Neodiprion lecontei: one gene and its partner. The protein of the gene in region 2 purifies or fractionates together with the protein of the main gene of each other region. This does not show direct contact. Links are inferred from orthologs where the notes say so. Each region holds a gene or a part of one and is shown on either strand. Other genes may lie near its edges.

Evidence for each region. Proteins that work in one complex are often made in the same cells at the same time.
Region 1: the proteins of protein LSM14 homolog B (region 2) and eukaryotic translation initiation factor 4E transporter purify together in Homo sapiens (affinity purification with mass spectrometry; 3 studies listed by BioGRID and IntAct, with this or other methods). This does not show direct contact. The link is inferred for Neodiprion lecontei from reciprocal best matches to the Homo sapiens genes LSM14A and EIF4ENIF1.

What each region holds. Positions count from the first base shown.
Region 1 is NC_060261.1:14,469,224-14,476,914, reverse strand, and holds the start of eukaryotic translation initiation factor 4E transporter, read left to right. Parts: upstream 1-3,414; 5' UTR 3,415-3,588; coding exon 3,589-3,769; intron 3,770-6,077; coding exon 6,078-6,175; intron 6,176-6,273; coding exon 6,274-6,347; intron 6,348-6,440; coding exon 6,441-6,705; intron 6,706-6,894; coding exon 6,895-7,691. UniProt on the Homo sapiens protein: EIF4E-binding protein that regulates translation and stability of mRNAs in processing bodies (P-bodies). Plays a key role in P-bodies to coordinate the storage of translationally inactive mRNAs in the cytoplasm and prevent their degradation.
Region 2 is NC_060266.1:24,400,322-24,406,691, reverse strand, and holds the start of protein LSM14 homolog B, read left to right. Parts: upstream 1-1,680; 5' UTR 1,681-1,864; coding exon 1,865-1,985; intron 1,986-3,129; coding exon 3,130-3,284; intron 3,285-3,433; coding exon 3,434-3,749; intron 3,750-5,173; coding exon 5,174-5,369; intron 5,370-5,472; coding exon 5,473-5,802; intron 5,803-6,006; coding exon 6,007-6,204; intron 6,205-6,370. Other genes in the region: cytochrome c1, heme protein, mitochondrial, read right to left, coding at 1-65, 170-318, 639-686, 1,133-1,204. UniProt on the Homo sapiens protein: Essential for formation of P-bodies, cytoplasmic structures that provide storage sites for translationally inactive mRNAs and protect them from degradation. Acts as a repressor of mRNA translation. May play a role in mitotic spindle assembly.

The sequences.
Region 1 (7,691 bases), on a different chromosome or scaffold from region 2:
GTCGATCAGATACTCCATTTCCGAGAAATCATACAATGATATTCAAAAAAATGAAATGGGAGACAAACTCTCTCAAAGATTTGGATGCTTTTTCGAAACTATTACCCGTGCTTATGACGATTAAAAGTTCCCTGCACTGTGATACGAAGTTTCTAGTGCAGCATCCTCCTTGATCCGCTGTTACTCTATGATTTTGTTTTATCTAATTCGGCCTTTTGATCATTTTTCCATATCAACGCAACTGGCATGGCACCCAGATTCCAAAAAATTCAAGTTCGCGGACCGCACAATGTTTCACGTTTCTGTCTGTCAAATCCGTAATTTTTCGAATTCTTCCAAAATTCAAACGCCACTTTTCAAAGAACAAAAAACAACGATTTTTTGATGCTTTAGCCCCCTTCAATATTCCATGCTCTGGAATAGCTACTCAGCTTTAATTCGTTCCTCGGAAATTTGTCCTTGAATTGCAGCCCTGGTCATAAATTTAGTTTTCTGTCAAACCTTATTCTTCATGCACATGAAAAGTTAAAGAACGGATCAGAAAAGTTTTGCCGAATCCCACGGATTGGATGCCTGTGTAGCAAAATTAGGGATCTGTTTTTTTCACAATTCTTAGTACAAACATAGAAAATTCTTAATCAATACTTTTCAAACAATACCCTATTAAAATACTATCCAGAGTTGTGTCTTTTGAAGATAGCATTTCAACGCAGATTTTATATCAATGAGGATCGGTGGTTCGAATATTGTCCAACCGCTAGAGAGGATATACATGTAAGCAGTAGTTTTAAACTTTAACTATCAGACTAAACGTTTACGGACTAATTGCGAACGAATTTACACTGTCGCTATTTTGAAAAGTAATGTTATCATGCTGCGTCACGCAAACCCTGCTATTACTTCAAGCAGGGTATCGTTGCAGAATGACTTTAAACAAAAACTTTGCGATTGACATTTCAAGACTACTATGGCGAAATATTTAATATCCATAATTTTTTTTATTTCTTGGTTTGCAACCAAAAACACTGATTTCATGTCCTGAGATGCACCTGAATTTTCGATCGGTCGAGCTTGATCGAAAATTCTAATCATGATATCTTAACGGCTAAATCAAACTGGTTTAGCTGATGTCCAAAAGTACTATAAACGATAAAGTAGAGGTTGCTAAATATTCCACTAATAAATATTCGTTCATTATCAGACTTAGGCCTTCAAATAAGCCTGACTGATGGAAATTTTAGATGCATATCTCAAAAAATAGAAACTAAAAAATACAGAATCAAAATTGATGCTGCTGGCTTGCTAAAGCTGTGCATTCATGATTTACCTCTTTGACATTTCTTTTCTTGCATCGTCAACTCATGAATAACTTTACATATTTTCGAGGTGTTAATAATGTATAACTATAATTATTTTGAAGGTGTTAATAATGTACTGTTCAAAAGTGTATCCCAATCAAGTTGCATGTATCGTTCTCAGCTCACATTTGTTTCCACTCAATGAAACAGAAAATAATTATCGTTTTGTTACAGTGGGTATGAAGATTTTTCAAATACGTTCAATGTCCGTAAAAGCTTCACCGATTTTCTGTTATTCTCTACTTACATGTCGACATGTCAACGCTATGGATGCAAATTTTTGAGATATTGTACGTTCTCTCGGTGTGTGTGAGTGGTTAAAACGATATATTCTTATTTTTGGACCGTAAAATAGTTCAGTTGCTGAAAAAGAAGTTTCTGCAGCGACTATATTCTCTATTGATGTAAGCAAAGCTTCGCACTCGCTTGTCCTCCGCTATATGAATTTCGCAATTTTTTTTCTTATGTCAAGGCTTAAGGAAGTTGGTCGGTAAAAAAATTAATGCATTTTATTAATCTTATTATAAGACGGTACGTACATTAAAAATTTATGAAATCGTCTTTTTCAAAATACCAAAATAGATACTGGAATTATGAAAAAAAGTTTAAATATCTATGAAAAGTGTGAGGTTGAAATTAGTAACATTGTAATGAAACATCGGATTGTCCGAAACGTTAATTCATTACAATAACGTTACTAACTTCAAGATCATAAAAAAGTGTGTCAGTGAATTTGTAGAAAATTTAATAGTCCTTTAAATAAAATGAGCCATCATCGAGTGAAATCGAATGAATCTAGTAGATTCGTAACAATTTTGAAGCAATTTGAAACGAAGCATCGATATCTAAGCTCTTGCTTGCAATTCCAGTATTTTCTATTTTTTCATTCTCATAGCGATCTTTCCAGCTTAAGAATATATTAATTTGATCAATACTACATATACGACTACCTCCTAATAAAATTTATAAAAAGTATATGATTTTGACCAACCAACTTTCTTACTTAAGCTGGGTACAATAAGTCGGAAAAGTCGGAGATTCTTTCGTTATCCCGGCGACAAAGCGAAAAACATTTTCTTTCCAAAATTATTCCTTTATCCGCGAACTAAATTCAACCTGGTGATCGCATAAAATATTTGCACACTTCCTAAAACTTATACCCGCCCCGAAGTTTTTACGTCCAACAATCTTTTTTTTTTATTTTTAATTTTTTTTTTTTATTTATTTAGCGAAGTTCAAATTAGTAACGTAATAATCGTAATAAAACACAAAAACAATCTATATTTTGCAGCAGGACAAGGAGTTTGAGAGAAGTTTGCTTTATTACGATTTACTGAATTTTTTAATATTTACATAAAGTTACGAAATAACGATTTTTGACGAAACACACTTCGCTATATTAACGTTACAAACTTTAATCTTACATCCTACTAACGATTGCTCATTCTATGCGGCGCATCCCCTACACTCTGTACTCAATTTCAAGGCTGAAAAACTTATTTTTTGCTCCGAGGGCTGAGTGTACAAGAGAACCAAACCTGTATCTGAATTATACCGTTCTAAGTCAACAATTACAATATACTCAAGGGCGAATTTTGCGCTCTACATGCCTGCAGTTCGAATTGATTTTTGCGCGTCGTTTTTCCAACTGTAGTACATCGCAAGGAAAAATTGAATGTACAAGGCAAACTGCGCAAAAATCATTCTACAAAACCGTGAGCTAATTCTTCAATCCATGAGTAACTAGTATTAGAGGCATATTCTAATTCATCGGATAGACGCCAGAAAAAAAAATTGTATTTAGTTTGTACTGGATTTTACATACATTTCACATACTGGATTACGAATCAGAAATTTAGTCAAAACGGTCTGTCTTCAAGCGTCTCGTACTTTCCGACGACTCTCGAGGATATTGTCCCCAAGTTTGAGCATCCATTTCGGCTACATTGTTCACGTGGTCAGCAAGAAGTCGGGTTTATAGCATGTGTATTGGTGTCCAAATAGTAAACATCGCGGTCGAATTCAAAGGACAACGGTTTAGCAAGTACGGCAGGCAAGAAGCAGTACATGAATTTGTCCGTGGTTGAAAATCGCCAGTTGTCTTTCGAGACGAAATCAGTTAGCGTTGAAAGAGTCGATCGCATCTTCTAATCGTTAAATCCGTATTTCACCCGTTCGATTCAGCTACTTTTGTTTACGTGTTCAAAAATATTGCTTATTCCGTTGCAAAATGAAGCTGGAAAATAACGAAATCAGCGCCGGTTCAACTTATCGATACCGGCGTCCGCGTCGTCGCCCGCTTGTTGGGCCGACGGGTTCGTGTATTCTTGATTCTCTGGTTATCCAGAATCAAGGAGTTCGATGGTCTCGTCGCAACCGTGCTTCCAATCCCGTAAAAAGAGTTACTTTTCGTGAGTATCACTTGGCTATCAGAGTTTCAAATTTTCTTTTTCATTAAGGGGGTACCCTGGTCGATTTCGACGTTGTCGTATATATGCATCTCCAAATATCGAAGTCCACGTATCTCAAACGCAAAAAAGGACATCATCCTTTCAGTTGCACATTTTTCAACTCAATATTTCAGCCTGAATTTTGTGACATGGGGGTTTTTCAGGTTGCTAATTACGAATCTGAAATCAGAATTCAATCATTTCTAAATCCAATATAACGGATGTAAAATCTAATAAAAACTATAAAAATTCGATGATTCTGGTCCAAACTTGTTACTCGAGGATTTTGGTGTTATATATACGTAACAACGATCATTTGATGTTTTAAATAAACTGCGATAAGGCTAGGAAATGGAAATGTTGAGGTGAGACGCTGAGCATCTGTGACTGAAAGGGTTAATCCTTTCCGGTTTCTCTTCTAGTTTTGTTTCATCATCATTACAGTTTTGTTGTAATTCGCTAGGGCAATTTCTCCTTATTGCTAAAGACGAATACGCCTACATTACATTCAAAATGCTTCGTGTACAGGCTTTGCGCGGACAATGTATTATGATTTATTTGCGGATACTAGTTCAGTGTCACGATCGGTGTTGTTTGATCTCAATATTGACATACAACGATACGTACATTGTACATATACCGCGAAAATATGGCGAAGCCGGCAACTCGTCGACCGAGACGAGGTGACTCCGTGTATTGCGGCAACCATGGCGGAATGGCCTTTTCTCACCGCGAAGACAGTGAAGTTAGTAACGTTAATGTAACGATTAATTTTTAGGAAAAATCATTATTTCGCAACTGTAGGATCGTCTCAAATTGACTAAGCTATTTTTAAAAAGCCAAATGTATTCTGATTATGGAAATTAAATTCCTTTAAAGTCGTTTTAAATTTTCAGAACAATAGTTTTAGTTTCAATATTTCGTTACTTTAACGCTACTAACTTCAATCTGATTCATTGCGAGAGTGTCAGGTATCCGCTTTACCGATCCGCTAACTTGCAGACAGCTTTTTAGCCTCAATTATCTCGATCTGGTTGCAATTTGGATGATTTAGAAAGTCCAATTTTCAAGCCCTTGTACGTCAAATGTTTACGAGTTACGATCAATTTTATCACGGTTTCGAATTTTTTGTACTTGTTGGAAAACATTTGATCTCTCCGAATATAAAATACATTTGAAGGCATGAGAAATTCAGGAATTGCCAAAAACAATATATGTTTCCCGACATTTTCAGTCCTGTATATGCGAAGAGGGTAAAAATAAACTGTATTTATTTTTCCGTGTAATATAATGGACGTTTTGTAGTATATCCTGGAATTTTGAGAGTAAACTGAAAATGGGATTATATTTATAATCGATATAAATGTACCAGGGACATATAAGGTGTTTAGAAAATTCAAGATCCTTGGAATATTGACATTTATTTTAACTCGGAACCCATTTTCATCCCACATTAAAAACTTCAGGATACCGTCTAAAATATCTAATTCTTCGATCAAAAGAATGAAAACAATTAATTTCCTAGACTTATTTTTGCATGAAACGGCATAAAAGGGCTCTGCTGCTTTCTTGCGATTGTAATGCATAAGCGTTGGTAACATTTAAATTAAGCGAAATTTTACTCGGTCGGTACAGACTGATTATAGCATCGTCTTAAAGGCTAAAAATTGAACGATTTTCATAATTAATTGTAAGTGTACACTATGAGGTACTGAAGTACAGTCAGAGCTAATATTTTGCCCTCAAAAACTGGCACATATCTTAAATCTGCCAACAGAGAGACTGAGGCAACCCATAGTTTCTGATTCTGGATGTGGGGTTATGTCTCCGGACCCCATCTTTTGCACTCTGGTTTACGTTTTTCGGTAGCAATACTGTCACATATATAATTGGTCTTATCATCATCGTTTATATGGCATCTATGTGACTTACAAAATGACAGCTCATTTATACATTTGTACATGTATCATGCATGCGATGGTTTAACAATAATTTCATAATCATAATAAGTACTAACATTAACCTGAAGTTCAAAAATTCCTCACTCTTATCATTTTTAAGATCCTTGCTGTGAAATATAACTATTCAAATAACTCGTAACTAGATAATTCATTTCACATCATTTATTGTGCGATTTTCCAAACCCAGTAATATGAATTGATAATAATAAGAATTATATCTGTGTTTGTTGCGTATATATGTATAATAAACTGAATTTCATACATTTTAGTTTTTTGAATGATGTTGAAAATTGAAAATATTGCTGCAGGAGATGAAGCGATAATATCGATGTCTGTGGCAGGCGAAGTGACTGATACTTCTATTGTGGAAGTGGGCAGATCTCGACCTCAGTTTCAATATACTCGGGTAAGCGAAAGATGTATTACTATTAATTTTAGGTAATGGTCAGATCTTTCACTAATTCAATTCATGATATAATAATCATTGTGACTTTCCATCCATAGGAGGAACTGATGGAAATGAAGACTCAACCTCTATCCAAGCGTAGGCCAGATTGTTTGGATTCCGCTTATAATAAGTGCGTTTATATTTGTGTATATTTTATTTATTGAAGTTCCATAATTATTTGGTATATTTGTTATATCTAAATTACAATTGTTTTTCCATCCAGTTCGCGAGGCGTTTGGGACCCTGAGCGTTGGCATCTTGATAGAAAGCGAAGTGAAACTCCTCCTGACGATGACAGAAATGGACGCGGGGATCAAGTGATTGAAAATCATAGTAAACGTCGCAGCGGTGATTTTCGGGAACGAATCCGTAAAGAGTCGGATGGCATAGTGCTGAGTCCTCAACGCCGAAATTTTAACTCTGGATGCTTTGTCAATGTAAGCCAGCTGCCAACTCGGCGTCCAGAGAGCCCAATCAGCAAACCAGAGGCGAGTAACTGGAAATTGTGGTTCAAAATAATATTCAGGGTGTATATCACATAAAAAATCTGGAATTAACCCATTATGTTTCTTCCTTTTGATGGTTCTGTATGCACCCTGAATATTAAACTTGAAAGACATTCGATGCGAAATATACTTTATAAATACATAGATAAATGAATATCTTTATGTATACAGCAGGTTGGGCATCGGGAACAAGTGCGTCGTATAGGTTCTGGTCGCATACTGACGCGAGACGTCTGGGACTTCAGACCTGATACAGAGAAACTTGAGCCTGATCGCCCGGAATTTAGCTTCAGATCTGGAGCAACAGGTGGAGCACCACTTCGAGACAGAGATGTCAGGGACACTCGCGATGTGGGAAGGGATCGCGAAGGACTTAGAGACAGAGACCGAGATCGTGATAATATCAGGGAACGAGATGAAAGATTTGAAAGGCGTTCATTTACCAGAGACTTTGGTGATCGTGACCGAGATCGTGAACGTGACCGGATGGACAGAAGTGATCGACACGATCGCAGTCACCAGATGGATCGCGACAAGGATCGTGGTCGTGACAGAAGGTTTGGAAATGACCGAAGGCGAACTTACAGCGACAATAGAGAAATCGACGAACCAGAGTGGTTTAGTTCAGGGCCGACATCTCAGCACGACACCATCGAACTTCGTGGTTTCGAAGATATCCCTGAAGATAGAGCGCTCAACAATAACAATATGAAAGGTAAAAAGCAGTCACCTGCTCAGAAGAAACGGAGCAAGAAAAACTCGTTGGACAAAGATGACAAACAAAATGATAACACATCTGGGCCCAAGGGACGCAGCACACCCACACTAACCGATCAGCCAGCCAATTTAGCTCCAGCTCCACATTCGCCGATATCTGAACAAAACGATCTCTTGTCTTCCCCCGATTCTAAAGAGAAGCCTGACGCAGGGCAGAACTCAATTGCTACATCAAAATCGGCTAACGACAG
Region 2 (6,370 bases):
CGACGTACTTGAGACTGTGGCACGAGGAGCAGACGTTCTTATATACTTCCCAACCTCTTCTCAAGCTGAAATTGTTATGAGTGCAAGTTACGTTTCAATCTTCCGACTCTACATATATTTTACACTTCTCCTAGAAGTCCAATTAACATCACATTTGATTCAACGTTACCTGGCATGATCGAAGGAACTTAAATGCCCATAAAAGTCCCAGGCATAATTTGGAGCGTGTAATTCAACGCCCTCAGCTTTCACGGAACTTTCCAAGGCATATACCAAAGCTCCAGCACCGCCTGTCGCAACGCCAAGGCATGCTAGCAACTGCAAATTTCAATAGAAACCACTGCGGTTGGGAATTATTTACACATCGAAATGCGGTGAGAAACACGTAACTGACTAAGATATTAAAATTATTTTTACAAACTGTACGATCGCCCTTCGCGTCAGGTTTTCAAATACCAAAAATGTCCAATTGTCTAGTTTCAGGGATATCATGGGATATCATTAATATCCTGGTATATTTTACTCACGGAGTAAAATAAAATCAAACTTCAGGGATGTCGTCATGAATTTTAGGAACTCTAGAGGTTGGGATAGGGCAGGGAAGGACGTTAGACGCTGTGCATTGTTATGTGACGTACCGTTTTTCGTCCCTTTGCCCAGTCTCGGGCGGTCGAGAAGGTGCTGACCTGCAAGAAGATGAAGGAGATATTTCTTCTCGTTATAATGATAAATTCAGAACTGCATAAAATGTGTCAACAGGCGTACATAACAAGAGGCTGAATGTTGCTCTATTACATAACGTGTATGAAGGGAGAATATATCATTTTAAATGGACACTAAAATTGTCAAAGTATCCTCTGGACCTTTGCTCTGATTAAGTAGTTTGTCAATAAACCGCCAGCTATCTTAGAAACTAACTATAGATGACTCGTAATAACGAACTGACGATTACAGACGGTTAAATTATGATGGTAAAACGTTCAGTCAAAGGTTTGTGAGGAGTGAACTTCCCTCGATAGAGAGACAGTCGTGGCCAATTTGTGACTTTGACAAAAGGAACAGCTCGATCGGAATTATCGCGAATTAAACTCTGAGTAGTAAGCCACGATTTTTCGGGTCAAAATTTACCTACTTGATTAAATAGAGCACCATTACTGGCTTTTAAAAGACCCGAACCGCAAACCCTTCCCAGCGATGCCGCCATCTTAGCTAGAGGTGCAGACTGCAAAAGAACACGAGTCGTTGGATGTACCGTTAATTTGACGAAGATATTTTTTCTGCATACATCCCGAGTATAAATACCGGATAAATGGAGGTTGAAAATATTATTAATTTTCGTTCAAATATCGACTATAATGCTATTCATAATATAATTAAAATCAATTATTGTAAGATTAGGAATATTGCGATGACGTCACGATTCCATGTTAGCCAACGTTATCTAAGCGTTTGTCGAACGGTAAATGTGAGAGTCCTAAATTATTGGAAATCATCTAACGCTGAAAATCCGAACAACGATAGATGCCTGAAACAGATTTATCACCGACGCGTAGCTGACCGGTGAAAAGTTTTGTAATAATTAAAAATTTCAGATTAAGATTAGACCAGATTTTCGAGCAGACGACCGACGCGCGTTCGTATCGTCAAGTTGGCAGCCTTGCGTTCGGGTGTCGTAGATCCTCCGCCATCGCGTACATCGTCCATCGGTGTCAGCTGGCGCGTAGAGCGTATAGAGAGTCAGCAGCGCATAGTTTTTGTGGTATATCGTTTCGCGTTCAGACGGTTGTATGGAGCGGTAGATGCGGACGGTATCGGGTATCTAAGTACATCTCGTTGATCGTTAGTAATACATAAAAGTTTCAAGATGAGTGCCGGAATGCCGGAGCTTGGTTCTAAGATAAGCCTAATATCGAAGGCAGATATTCGTTATGAAGGCCGTTTATTTACCGTCGATCCACAGGAGTGCACGATCGCCTTAGCCAACGGTAAGATGGACTCCTTTCTTTCTCGCATCAACTTTGTTTCCGCCGTTTTCATAGTTTAGCCTAACCGCCCGATGCTCGCAGACGACCAGAACATCTTTTATTACCTTTATTTCCCTGTAATTCAACAACTACTCGATATTCCACAAGTAGCTTTTACATTCTCAACTATTGATACCGGTTGATTATATTCTTTTTTGACAGTTCTTCTGTACTACCTTAACTTATCACTTTTTCATATCATATATTTTTCTCTCATTTCTTTTTATGAAAACAATCCAGGTCACCAGAGTTTACGATCCTGCAATCTCGCGTCGCAATCTTTTGCCTATCTCTCTGTCTTTCTCTCCCCCCCCCCCCCCCTTCCCCCCTCACCCCCTCTCTCTCTTTCTCGTTCTTCCGCTGTGTTATGTATTTCCATTCTTTACGTTGTTATTCCTCTTTCCGAAAATTTGTCGCAGTTACGTTTCATCCGCAATGATTGAAATAACAACAATTTCATTGCGATATTTCAATTAGTTATATCTACTGTAATTTCTCTCTTCTCTTCCCCCCCCCCCCCCCCCCCCCCCCCCCCTTCTATTATTTCACTTCTCCATCATGATATCCTAGTCAAAATTACGTGTATCACCTTCAAACGCTTGTTGTGAAGAATATATTTCAGCACAGTCGTATGATGACGGGCTCTCAGGTTCACCTAAGAGATTGTATTTTGTTTTTGTTTTTGTTTTTTTTTTTCTCCCTCCTTCGAGCGTTCTATCTATTCAAACGAGAACCGTTTGGATTTGAAATATCCGCTCAACGAATTCTGGGATTAACGTAAACGTAAACATAGTTGGAATCGATTTTGTGTATAACGTATCACATCATTGATAATCGTCAATCAATTGTACTTTCTGATTTTCTTACAAAGATATATGTTTTTGCTCGATTATTTTCAAATAACAGTCTTGCATTTTACTCACAAGTTTTCCAATTTCTCTAATATCAATAGAGAGAGTAAAATTCAGACAATGTTCAATAATTTTCATTCATAAATTATCGTTAATGTTATTATTATTATTTTTAAGACACATTCCGACGAGTGCCAAATACTCACTAACGATCGATTACTATTTTTCGTTAAGACTGTTTTTATTCGTTACAGTTCGTTCCTTTGGGACTGAGGATCGAGAAACCCAGTTTCCAGTAGCGCCACAAAACCAAGTCTATGAATACATATTATTTCGAGGATCTGACATTAAAGACATCAGAGTCGTCAACAATGTCAGCACCATTCCAAACGATCCAGCCATTGTCCAGGTAAAATATTGCTGATTCAAAGATCATTTTTGAAATGAATTATTTTGCTTCATCGCTCAATTTTACTAACACTTGTGTAAATTGTCCAGCTTTATTACGGCAGACGCGGCAGCTCGGTTACTTGTTACATAAATATTACCAATTCACAGATGACAGTACAGCCCAACATGGGTCAGCCGTCTTACCAGCCACAGCCAGGATTCAACCATCCGATGATGGGTCAAATCGGACCAATGGGCGGCCAGTACGGAGGCGGATACGCGATGGGTGGAATTGGAGCCATGGGAGCCATGGGTCCAGTTATGGGTATGCCTGCAGCTGGACGAGATCCTCGAGTCGCTATGAACAAACAACCAAGTGAGTTGGGCCTGGGCTCCACTGGAGCACCCAACGTCGTCTCGATCCCAAACTCGATAGCACCGGGCAACGTTGATCAAATTCAAAAAGACCAATCTTTGGAAGATGGTAAACTGTTTTTGCTATGATCTTGCTACCCGGCATGCCTGATGCTTTTCAGCTTGATTTGGTATAATTGTTTATTTATTCTTCACTTTTATCTAACATCTGCTCGCCTCTCGTTGCTTTTTTACTTCAACCAAGAGAAAAAGAGTCAGTCGTGCCTTTTTTATTATGAACGGTTTAACGTGGACCGAAAAATTACGGTTCTTGCTGCAAAAATAACATTACATTAATGCACTTCTGCTTTGGCTGGTCTCTGTACATATTTTCTTGTCTTTCTTTTAAATCTGCTTCTGCGAATAGATGCTTTTTTATTCTACGAATTTTATTACATCTATCTCAACTCGCTACATTTGAGAAATTTCAACTCATTTTTTGCATTTGAAACATGACGCGGATCGTATAAAGAATTATTTATATCAAATTCTCGTTATTTACATGTGCAATGTTTCAGTCATGAGGTGAACTGTACTTTCAAGTTTTGGTATTGTTCAGCTCACTCTTGGAACAGCTTTTAAAACTCCTTAACCAAATCGTATCGATTCAATAGTGCTTTGTCACTGTTCCATTTGACTCTTTTCGTTGCATGTTTAATCTGTTTCTTCTTCAACTAGGAACAGTATAGTTTTGCCTACAAACAAACGAAAGAACAAATATAGCAAAACCAGTTATCATTTACATTATGGTATAAAATACGTGTAACTTTCCTTAATCGATTGCAACTTTACTTGTGCGATCCATCTTTCCATCTATCTCTATCTCTATCCACGTTGTTGGCATGTATTCATTTATTCTCAATTGCAAATTCTTTTAAATGATTTATTTATTTGTTTTTTTCATTTGTCATGTTCCGAAATCTAGCATGAATTTGTAGAAAATCACTATGAGATCATTTTAAAAGAGAGTACACCGATGCTTTAATATAATTGTTCATCTTCCTTGCTACCGTTTCATACAGTTTACCATTTTACCTTCTAAATAACTATTACTAACCATCTCAGCACCGTGTGATAATTGTGACCTTCAATTATAACGTATTACTCAAGATGTAGAACAGTTTCAAAATTTTTGAAACAACATTCACTGTCTGTCTGGTTCTTTTTTTGTCGGAAATCAGCTGAATAATTCTTCAATTATCCGGTGCTGTAGATAACTAAAACTAATTGACAAAAATGCATCTTCTGCGGCTTATTTAATGTGACAGAGCTGCGGAAGATGTAAAAAGTCCAATATCTCATGGCAATACACCAGAATTGTTCAAGGGCATCATTGATCGCATTAGAACAGGATGTCTGTCTTCTCTTGCATTATTGGTAAATTCGTCTGCCTCAAGATTGCCTCAAAAATATTGTTTGTATACGTGTGGAAAGTCAAAGGATAAAACAAAAGTATCCCAATTAAAAAATCGAATTTTCCCCCCTGCTACACAGGTGTGTTGGACTTGATCAGCGGAGGATCTCGATCGACTACTCCCACTTCATCCCTGATGACTAGGAAAAGTCCGACTATGGATCAGGGCACGCAGGTTGGCCATCAACAGCGGTCGACGAACGCCAACATCCACAAACCGATGAGCGACAAGCCCAACGCTAGAACCATACAACCATCTTATCGCGATCGTGAAAGGTTGGTAAAAATATGACTTGTACTTTCATTCTTTAAATATTCTATCATTGCTCATTCATTTTCTTTAACTGTGCAATTTACCTATGTAAATAAACTTTCGCAGTCATGGCAGCGGGCGAACCGGCAGCGGCATGTCCCAGTATAGCGACGGAAAGCGTGACAATCGTGAAAAGCAGGACGGAAATCAACTTCAAGGACACGGACATCCTTCAGGGCCGAATCACGCCCAGATGCATCAGGCGGGACGCGGAAATCGCGGCGGTTGGATAGCTCGAGGAAATATTCGCGGACGAGGAAGGGGACGCGGCGGTGGTGGCGGAGGTACCTTCAGACCCCCGCAGCCAGGAAGCATAAATAACAAGCCGAAGAACATGTTGAAGTTCGAGAATGACTACGACTTCGAACAAGCCAATACGCAGTTCGAAGAGCTAAGGTAGACGCACTTGAACAATACAATTCGCTGTTTTCGAACTAGATATTGAAATGCCCGTTTTTGTAAATACATTCAAGTAATATATTTTAAACCGAGTATATTAAAATTTAAAGGATTTATATTCTCGGTGAGATCTGGTTTGATACATTGCTTATTAACATTTGGACAAATGAGTTGCCATATAATTTATGACGGAGTATGCAGTTTGATTGAAAATTGCAGGTCCCAATTGGCTAAGACTAAGATTGACAACGGTACTGACAATGAGAAAAAAGACGATAGCGGCAATGAAACTGGAGCGGGCGAGGGAGAGCCTGAGGAAGAAACGGACGTCGTACATTACGACAAGTCCAAATCATTCTTTGACAACATTAGTTGCGAAGCTGTAGAGAGGAGTAAAGGGTAAGTTCCGTCACGCATTTTACAAATCGTTATAAAACAACGTTCTTTGCTATTTTGCCAAAAGTAAAAATGTTTCAATAATACGGGAATTGAAATTCTGGAAGAATTTGACGAATTTACTATTCTAACTTATTCAGATTTCTGTCTGTATCTTTTACTTGCAAGT